2 linked regions of the Macaca mulatta genome follow. The protein of the gene in region 1 interacts with the protein of each later gene in a pairwise test. Links are inferred from orthologs where the notes say so. Each region holds a gene or a part of one and is shown in the gene's direction. Other genes may lie near its edges. The genes, in order: AQP2 and ERG28.

Region 1 (4,539 bases):
GCATCTACACTCCCATTGTCCAGACAAGGCAACTGAGGCACAGAGTGTGGCTCGGTAGTGTGGGGTGTGGCAGAAAGCTCCAGACCAGGCTCAGTCCCAGCTCAGCCACTAACCTGCTGGAGCACCCTAGATGAGTCACTCCCCTCCCCGGGCCTACACTCACCCCACATCCCCATGATACAACATAAAGCGGTCCACTCCAGTCTCCAATCTCTCCCAGATTTCTGTTGCTGGGACTGTGACTTGCCCAGGGACCTGCTGGACAGGAGCTAGGGCAGGGTGCAGAAGCCCATCCTTCTGCCCCCACTCTGAGCCCAACCCTGCTGTGAATCCCCAGGAGGGGGAGCGAGGCTGGAGGGATTAGGGAAGGGCCAGTGAGTGGGGCTGGGGAAACTTCTAGAGTTGAACACTTCCAGGACCCCAGTAGCCACAGCGGCATTGATAGCAGGAGGCAGCACTGCCCAGATGCTGGGCTGAGTGGGCACCAAGGCCAGAGAGCTGCTTATCAGCCATCATAGCCGCCCCGAGCCTGCACAGCTCACTGCCCCACAGAAATGTCTTTCTCCTGTGGCCAGAGTGGCCCTAAGCTCCTCGGGGTTCCTAGGACCTGTCACAGCTTCTGGGACCCCAACACATGAGTGTGCAAAGACCTGTTCTCCTCAAAGTGTAAATAATACTGTAAGGAAGGGCTGATATTCATTGACCACCTACTGTGGACCAGGCGCTGCTCTGAGCACTTGACATACATTGTTTCATTCAATCCAAACCCCAATCCACTAGGTCAGTTTTATTCTTCCCATTTTACAGAGAAAGACAAGAAAGGTTAAGTCACATAGATGGAACAGGCTGATGCCAGAATGGACACCCTCAGCTTCCTCAGCCGCCCCCAGGTTGACTCCATCACCGAGGGCCAGGGTCCCAGTGCCCCCAGGCTCTAGGAGCTGCTATTTGGCTGGGGCTCCCAGGAGAAGGTGAAGCTTAATGATTTATGGGTGATTAGCTGCAAGAATGCAAACGCAGAAGACACAAACCTTTATGCCCTGGAAATCTGTCACAAGCCAACCAGTTGTTTTCCATCCCTGTGAAGCAGGAGTAATTGGAGGTCTGACAGAAGAACTTCCCAGTTACCAGAAGGAGCAGCACTCACACACTCTTAGTTTTGTGTGAGGTATTGCCCCTGCCTTGGTCAACAGTTCGAGTCAGAGAGAGGGGCACTGGGCACAATCCCCACCAGAGGTTCCCATTCACAAGACCCCGTGGGGGCTGGGAGAGGCCCTGGGGCAGCAGCCCTGGGGTAACCAAGGGAACAAACACGGAAAACCAGGGACGTCAGTCCTTATCTGGAGCTCATTAAATGGGGAACATCAGTCAGCTGTGAAGGCTAAGATAGGGTGATAGGCACGTGGGTGGGCTGGGATGGGGCATGGGGGCAGAGGCCGCCATGGAGAAGAGGTATTGGCCTCAACGACTCCACCTCCCCACCACGTGCCCAGATCCGGGATGGAAGTACCCTATAAATGCCCACAACCCAGCCTCCCCAGAGGCCTTGAGAAAGAGAGCGGTAGAGAGCGAAAGAGAGTGCCCAGAGCCTCCTGGCCCTGAGACGGCCGGGCCAGCCACGCAGGACTCCGCAGCATGTGGGAGCTCCGCTCCATAGCCTTCTCCAGGGCTGTGTTTGCAGAGTTCCTGGCCACACTCCTCTTCGTCTTCTTTGGCCTCGGCTCGGCCCTCAACTGGCCACAGGCCCTGCCCTCTGTGCTACAGATCGCCATGGCATTTGGCTTGGGTATTGGCACCCTGGTACAGGCTCTGGGCCACATAAGCGGGGCCCACATCAATCCAGCCGTGACTGTGGCCTGCCTGGTGGGCTGCCATGTCTCCTTTCTCCGAGCCACCTTCTACGTGGCTGCCCAGCTGCTGGGGGCTGTGGCCGGAGCCGCTCTGCTCCATGAGATCACGCCAGCAGACATCCGCGGGGACCTGGCTGTCAATGCTGTAAGTAGCCACAACTTTGCCATCCACAAGGGGCAGATCCTGGGGAATCCCTTGTAAGGGATGAGATGGGAGGGAAGGGCTCTGGGTGAGGTGGGGAGAGAGATGGAGACAGAGGCAGACAGACAGAGAGAGACAGAGCCTGGAGTCAGGAACATAGCCACCATAGGAGGGTCAGGATGAAAGGAGCAATGGTACCAGAGCAAAGGCAGGATGCAGACAGACTGCAGGCTTCTTCCACCCTGACCGTCGTGCAGGAAAAGCCTCATCTGGGTTTCTGTTGGACTCAGTGCCTCCGTTATAGTGAGGACCAGGCTGTAACTCAGCAGGGGTTAGTGTCCCAAGCAGACATGCTTTCCAAGCTGCGGGGAGCCTTGGAGTGCTCATGACAGGGTCCTCAAGAGAGAAGAGGGGCCCAGCCTTTCTTCTGCTTTGAGGGTTTGCAGGCCCTATGGCAGGTGCTCCTTACAGGTCAGGCTCAGACACACCATAGCCCTACAAGCAGCAATGGGCATACTTCCTTCTCCAAACCCTGACGAGGTCCCCGGAGCCCATAAGCTGGCTGCTGATTACATGATACAGGTGCTAACTGGGCCCCGTGGGCCCTTCGGGAGCTGAGGGTGGTGCCACAGTCCCTTCCCCCATGTCCCACCCCCTTCCCCTCTCAGGTCTGTGTGGGCCCTGTGAATCCAAGAGACATGAGTGTGGAGGAACGACCTGTGCTCCCAACAGACCAACTCTCACTCTGTACCCCCATCCTAAGCCAGGACAGCAAGTGCCTCTTTTGTGCCTCAGTCTCCAGCATTTCCTGGCCTGTTCCATCCCTGGGCCACTGGACAAGAGTCCTGATGTCTCTGACAAGTCCTGCACAATCTCTGTGGCCGCCCGCGTCTCTGCACAGGCAGCCCTTCCTCATTTGTGGGACAGGGGTATCCCAGTTAGGGAACTTCTCTGTTTTGTTTTGTTTTTGAGATGGAGTCTCATTCTGTTGCCCAGGCTGGAGTACAATGGTACAATCTCAGCTCACTGCAACCTCCACCTCAAGTCATTCGCTTGCCTCAGCCTCCCGAGTAGCTGGGATTACAGGCATGTGCCACCATACCCAGCTAATTTTTGTATTTTTAGTAGAGACAGGGTTCACCATGTTGGTAAGGCTGGTTTCGAACTCCTAACCTCAAGTGATCCACCCGTCTCCACCTCCCAAAGTGCTAGGATTACAGGTATGAGCCACCACACCAAGGCTCTGTTCTTTAAAGATGAAATTGTGACAAGGTTGGGGGCCAGGGGCCAAGGACAGGCTAGGTGGGCAAGCAGAGGAGTGGGCTCTTTTCCTCTGAGAACAAAATTAGTTCAGTTTACAGCAAGAAGAGGTCCAGTTAGACTGAAAAAGGAACTTCCTGAGAGCATGACCAGGAAGTTCTTCTGTAATAGCAGGGCACTGGGAGTGAGAGGCCATGGGAAACATGCAGTCCTCCTCCTCCATCATTTCACAACTGACTGGGGCCCTCAGAAGAGAAAGGTCTGGGAGGACTCCTCCATGCCACTTCTCAGCATTTACTACCTTGAGGACCTGGGGAGAACCCTGCCTGGATGTAATGGGGCAGTGGTGGGACCAACTTACCCTGAGGCTAAAGAGAGCCAGATGATCCTCAAGACCATCCCATGTGTCCTTTGAGGACACTAAGAGCTAGCCTGGCCACCAGGAATTTAATCATTGACATGCACCTGCCCTGTGCCAGGCCAGCTATCATCTCATCATTGGTACAATGCTATAAGGGAAATTCTGTGGTTCCCCCCTATTGTGAGTGGCAAATTGAGGCTCAATAGTGAATTGATCCAAGTCACAGAACCAATAAGTCATTTCCAGTCCTCCCACCATCCTCCAGAATCCATTTTGTTTTCCCATTTCGCAGAAGGAGAAACTGAGGCCAAATTAAATAGTCTCATGGCAAGTCAGAGGCCTCTAAAGTGTCTGCTTCCAAAGCTCTTTTCACTGTCCTCTAGAGACTCTGCATTGGACAACAACAGAAGGGATTGAGGTTAGACCCTAGAGAGACCCAAGGGTTCTGACCTGATGTCTCGGACCCAGGGGTGGGGGTTCAGGGCCTGGAGAAAGAGCGTGGGAGCTGAGAGCTGTCACTGTTCCACCCAGCATGGTGCCCAGTCCCAGAAGGCAGGGCGTAGGGCACAGGGTGACAAAACCCAAGGAGAAATCCAGTGCTGGGTGTGGCCCAGTTATGAAATCACCTCTTTACTCAGCCCCGAGTTCTCTCCTTACCCAAGGCAGGGTCTGCTGAGACCATGGGCAACCTACATGGGTGTGGAGGCATTGTCCGACACAGCTCCGGGGCCCTCACCCCAACCTCCATAGGATGTGCAGGGAGCAAACCAACAGGGCAAAGCTGAGGCCTGAAAGGCAGTGGAGAATAGACAAGGGTTAAGGAAAAAGGTGTATGGCGGACTCATAGCAGAAAGGGGCACACTAGGACCATCCCCTAGACCCAAGTCCTGTCCCTGGGAGCCATTTGACCTCAGGAAGACAGACCA
Region 2 (4,377 bases), on another chromosome or scaffold:
AACTCAAGGTTTAAGACCCTTGCAGGTCGGGCAGGGTGGATCACACCTGTAATCCCAGCACTTTGGGAGGCCAAGGCGGGCGGATCACCTCAGGTTGGGAGTTCGAGACCGGCCTGACCAACATGGAGAAACCCCATCTTTACTAAAAAAAAAAAAAAAAAAAATTAGCCAGGTGTGTTGGCTCATTCCTGTAATCCCAGATACTCGGGAGGCTTAGGCAGGAGAATCGCTTGAACCCGGGAGGCGGAGGTTGCAGTAAGCCAAGATCGCGCCATTGCACTCCAGCCTGGGCAACAAGAGCGAAAACTCCGTCTCAAAAAAAAAAAAAAACCTTGAAAATATTTATTTAGACTCTATGACAAGCACTCTGACAAGATGCCATCATGTTTCCCGTAAAATAAATTCAACAATGAACCGAAAGATGAATATATTCTCTTGAATCAAAGGTCCATATAAATGGTTGGGGGGGAGGGGGGAATGCCCTTCCACTCTTAAAAATTATTCTTCCTTACTAAAAATCACAAACTTTGATATGACTCTCAAATAGACAATAAAATTGGAAAATTTCCAACACTGCATTTCTAACTTAAAATATTTTTTCCAAAGTAAAAAGTACATGGTCGTTTTGTGTGTCAGAAGAAGAAATAGGAACTACAAATAAAGAAAAGGAATATGTTTAAATGACCATAATCCCATTACTCAGCGATAATTACTTGCTGTCAATCCTTCTTAACTTTTCCATACATTCATAAATACGATGAGACTGTAAATCAGACAAAAAACAAAAAAACCGACCCCGATAATGATCTTCGGCGCAATGGGCAATGTCTAACGACTTCAATGGCTTTCTTCAGGGGATTCTCAAGGGGGATTTCTTGATCTTTCCCAAAATGTTGGGAAGTCCTTTAAGTTTAAACAAAACCTCTAAACGGGAAGGGATGCCAACCTTTCCTAGGCTGCCTGCAGAGCGGGGAGAAACAGGTCGATCGGAAGATTAAAGACATTCGCCTAAGAACACTCCTCGCCCTAAAGGAATCTGCTTCTCAGCCCCAACCCCAGCTCACCCCAATTCCACGGAGGTCCGCAGATGCTCCCCCCGGAAAGGACAGGACCACTCGGCTGCCGCGAATCAACGCGGCGCGCCCGGAAGCCAACAGCTACTCCCCGGCTCTGAGCGGGAAGTGCGGCGGCCAGCTGCAGCCTGGACCCGGGAACGCTCCTCCCTAGGGTAGGGATGCGCGCTGGCGCAGGCTTTTACCTGTCTCATCTTCCCATGGTTCGGGGCGAGTAGGCGTGGACCGCGCTCTGCGCCTACCTCCCTCTTCCTTCCCCAGCAAGGCTCAGGGCAGCCGCCGACGGCGCTTCCCCGGTTACTACAACAACCAACAAGCAACCGCCCGCTGGGAGCCACTGCGCAGGCGCTGATAACGCTCAGCTGCGGACGCGGGCGAATGTCGTCACCGCCGCGAAGCGCGGGCGCAGAGCCCTGCCCTCAGCAGAAAGTCTTTTTTTTTTTTTTCCGCTGTTTTTTTCTCCGCCCCTAAGAGGTTGACTCCAAACCCGGAGTTCCGCTAGGTCCAACAGGAGGGTTTACGGCGTGAGCGGCGTACCTGGGGAGAGGCTTAGGCAGCGGCAACCGCTGATTGGCAGTAAAGGGGTTCACTCCCCATCTCCTGCTCGGGCAAAACCAGGACAGCCAATCAGAGAGAGGACTAAAGGAAACGACCCAATCCTGGAGCAGGGCTGAGGGAGGGGGTGGGGACAAATGGCTCAGGTGGACTCCGGGCTGGAGCTGTCCTGGGGGAGCTTGTTTGCGGCGGCTGCTGCTGCCACTGCTGTGCTGGGGGTCCGGTCGCCAGGTAAGGAGAATATGGGGGAGAAGAGGGATGTAGGTGTCTGTGTTGCTTCTGATTGAGAGGATCGGAGAATCTGGAAAAATAGAGGTGAGATGGAAGGAAGATACCTGGAAGGCAACCTTTTGGGGGGAAAAGGGTTCGAGAGGCGATGACAAGGGGGAGCTAGGAAGATGGAGAAGGCTGGTGAATTCAAGGAAAGAAGGAATGGATGAGCGAATGAGCAGCCACTATAAGCCTAGCACTGTACAAAGAGCCTTCACTTTTTCTCATATGATTCTTACAATAACCCTTCGGGTTGATATTTCTATCTCCATTTTGCAGATGAGGAAACCGAGACTGAAAAGTGTAAATGACTTGCCCAGGGTCACACAGCTACTAAGTGGTAGGGCCAAGATAAGAATCCCTCTCTCCTGATTAAGTTTTAACAGCACACCTATGCTGGGCTGGGCTGGGTTGGGCTTGGCTGGGCTGGGCCAGGGCCAGGACAAAATTTGGAAATAGATGTTATATACACTCTAGGAGGCCCTAAAGCTTTAGGGAAATTAGGTTGAGAAATTGGCAGAGCAATTCAGAAGTACTCAGGTTCTGTCCTCATCAGCTATCTGTTGGGATTCCTAAGAGCTTCTGTGAAATGGAAGGCGTACTTGTGCAGAAAAGTGGAGAGGTGCATTCATGCAGCTTTTCTAAACCCCGGAGGAGTCTCCTCTTGAGAGAGGGTGAGAAAATAAAGAGGATAGGTGGATCTTGGCCCAAGTGATAATGGCCTATGATATCCAGTAGACTCTCAGTCTCTGACAGAGACCACCTTTGTGATCAGCTCTCCCTGAAGGGTTCATCAATTCACCCTTCCTTCTCTAGATCTCTTTATTGCTTTTTTTTTTGGGGGGGGGAGGGTGTTTCACACTGTCTTGGACCATTGCTGACTTTAATATCTATCTCACTGGGTAGCATAGAACAATACCGAAATTTATATTGCCAAAGTGACAAAGAAAGCCTGTTAGTTTATTACCACTTCAGGCCCAAGAGGTTAACCTGACAACAGATAAACCATAGACTGAGAAAATAGTGATGAGGATGGGAAAAAGCCATTCCATTATTAGATTATTTATCTATTTTGGTTTTATTTAAATCAGACTAACTGAAATTACTACTCAACAAGAGTTGATCTAAGCCTTAAAAAAATAAAAGTCTGGGTGCTGTAGCTCACACCTGTAATCCCAGCACTTTGGGAGGCGAGGCCAAGGTGAGTGGATCACTTGAGCCCAAGTGGAGAGGTTGAGGTGGGAAGATCACTTAAGCCTTTGATTTCGAGGCTGCAATGAGCCATGACCACGCCACTGCACTCCAGCCTGTGTGACAGAGCAAGACCCTGTCTCAAAATAATAATAATAATAATAAATTAAAAAATAAAAAGTATGTAATCTAATTGTATTTTCTATACAACTTGAAGACAGAAGAGGATATGGTATGCTTTTCTTAATCAAAAAATGGGAACTTCATTAAAGTAGTCTCAAACAGTGAGGTAGCACTGCAGCAGTCCAACAGACCATGATTCTTATCTCAGCTCTGCTGACTTTGCTGTGTGACCTTAAGAAACTTGTTTAACCTCTCCGTTCCAACCCTCATCTATAAGATGGAAATATTAATAGTGCCTGCCTACCTCATTGTGAAGATTAAATGGTAATATGTGTTAGGTGCTTGGCACAGTTCATGGTGTAAGTGAACTGTGACCTATTATTATCTTGCAGCCCAACACCAAGATTGCTGTTTCCTTCACTATATAATTTTCTTACTAGTCCTAAAGTCACACGTTAACTTAAACAGGCACAATTTATAAATTTGGAAAAAGAAAAGAGGCTTTATCTCTTGCAAAGGGTTACAGCCACCCAACAGGGAAGAGTGCCTCCCACTAAGATCAGAGACAGGTGCTTTGAAGGAGAAGGGTTTGGGGTAGAGCTTTATGCTGAACAGGTTGGCTAAACATACATGTTCAACAGCTTACAGGAGGAACTATGAATATTCCTGAAGGTGGTCCTGACACGTGCATATTGAACAATCATGTGTAACCACATATGACCCCTGTTCACTTTGAAGTAGAGACCTAACATTTAAGTCTATCACGCCTAGGCTCTATGCGTCAAAAAGTCTTTTCAGGACACCAAGACACTCAAGTGTGTGATCTTGCTAAACTGGCCAGGAGCAGTCCACGGTTGGTGGTCTTATCTGGAGAAAGTTACTAAAATCAGTCTCTTGTCCAATCAAAGGTGTAGTTATAGCTGGTGGAATAGGGGTCATGTAGTCAGCCTCTGTGAGCTGGATGAGCTGTAATTGTTTTAATATTGCTTATCTCAAGCCAGTGCTTGTCTAGCTGCTGGAGAAAAAAAACCTTGTGGCAGAATATAAGTTTTATTCTTTAAATGTGGGAGTGTGTGACTTAACCCTTGCCTGGCATGGCCTTAGGTCTTGTTTATAATTTGGTACCTTATTGCACAAAGAATCTGTTCTGTCATTCTTATGATCT

The links.
Region 2: the proteins of AQP2 (region 1) and ERG28 interact in binary tests that used the Homo sapiens proteins (3 or more experiments, as listed by UniProt). The link is inferred for Macaca mulatta from reciprocal best matches to the Homo sapiens genes AQP2 and ERG28.

The regions. Positions count from the first base shown.
Region 1 is NC_133416.1:57,123,638-57,128,176, forward strand, and holds the start of AQP2 (aquaporin-2), read left to right. Parts: upstream 1-1,550; 5' UTR 1,551-1,635; coding exon 1,636-1,995; intron 1,996-4,539. UniProt on the Homo sapiens protein: Forms a water-specific channel that provides the plasma membranes of renal collecting duct with high permeability to water, thereby permitting water to move in the direction of an osmotic gradient. Plays an essential role in renal water homeostasis.
Region 2 is NC_133412.1:148,867,622-148,871,998, reverse strand, and holds the start of ERG28 (ergosterol biosynthetic protein 28 homolog), read left to right. Parts: upstream 1-1,449; 5' UTR 1,450-1,859; intron 1,860-4,377.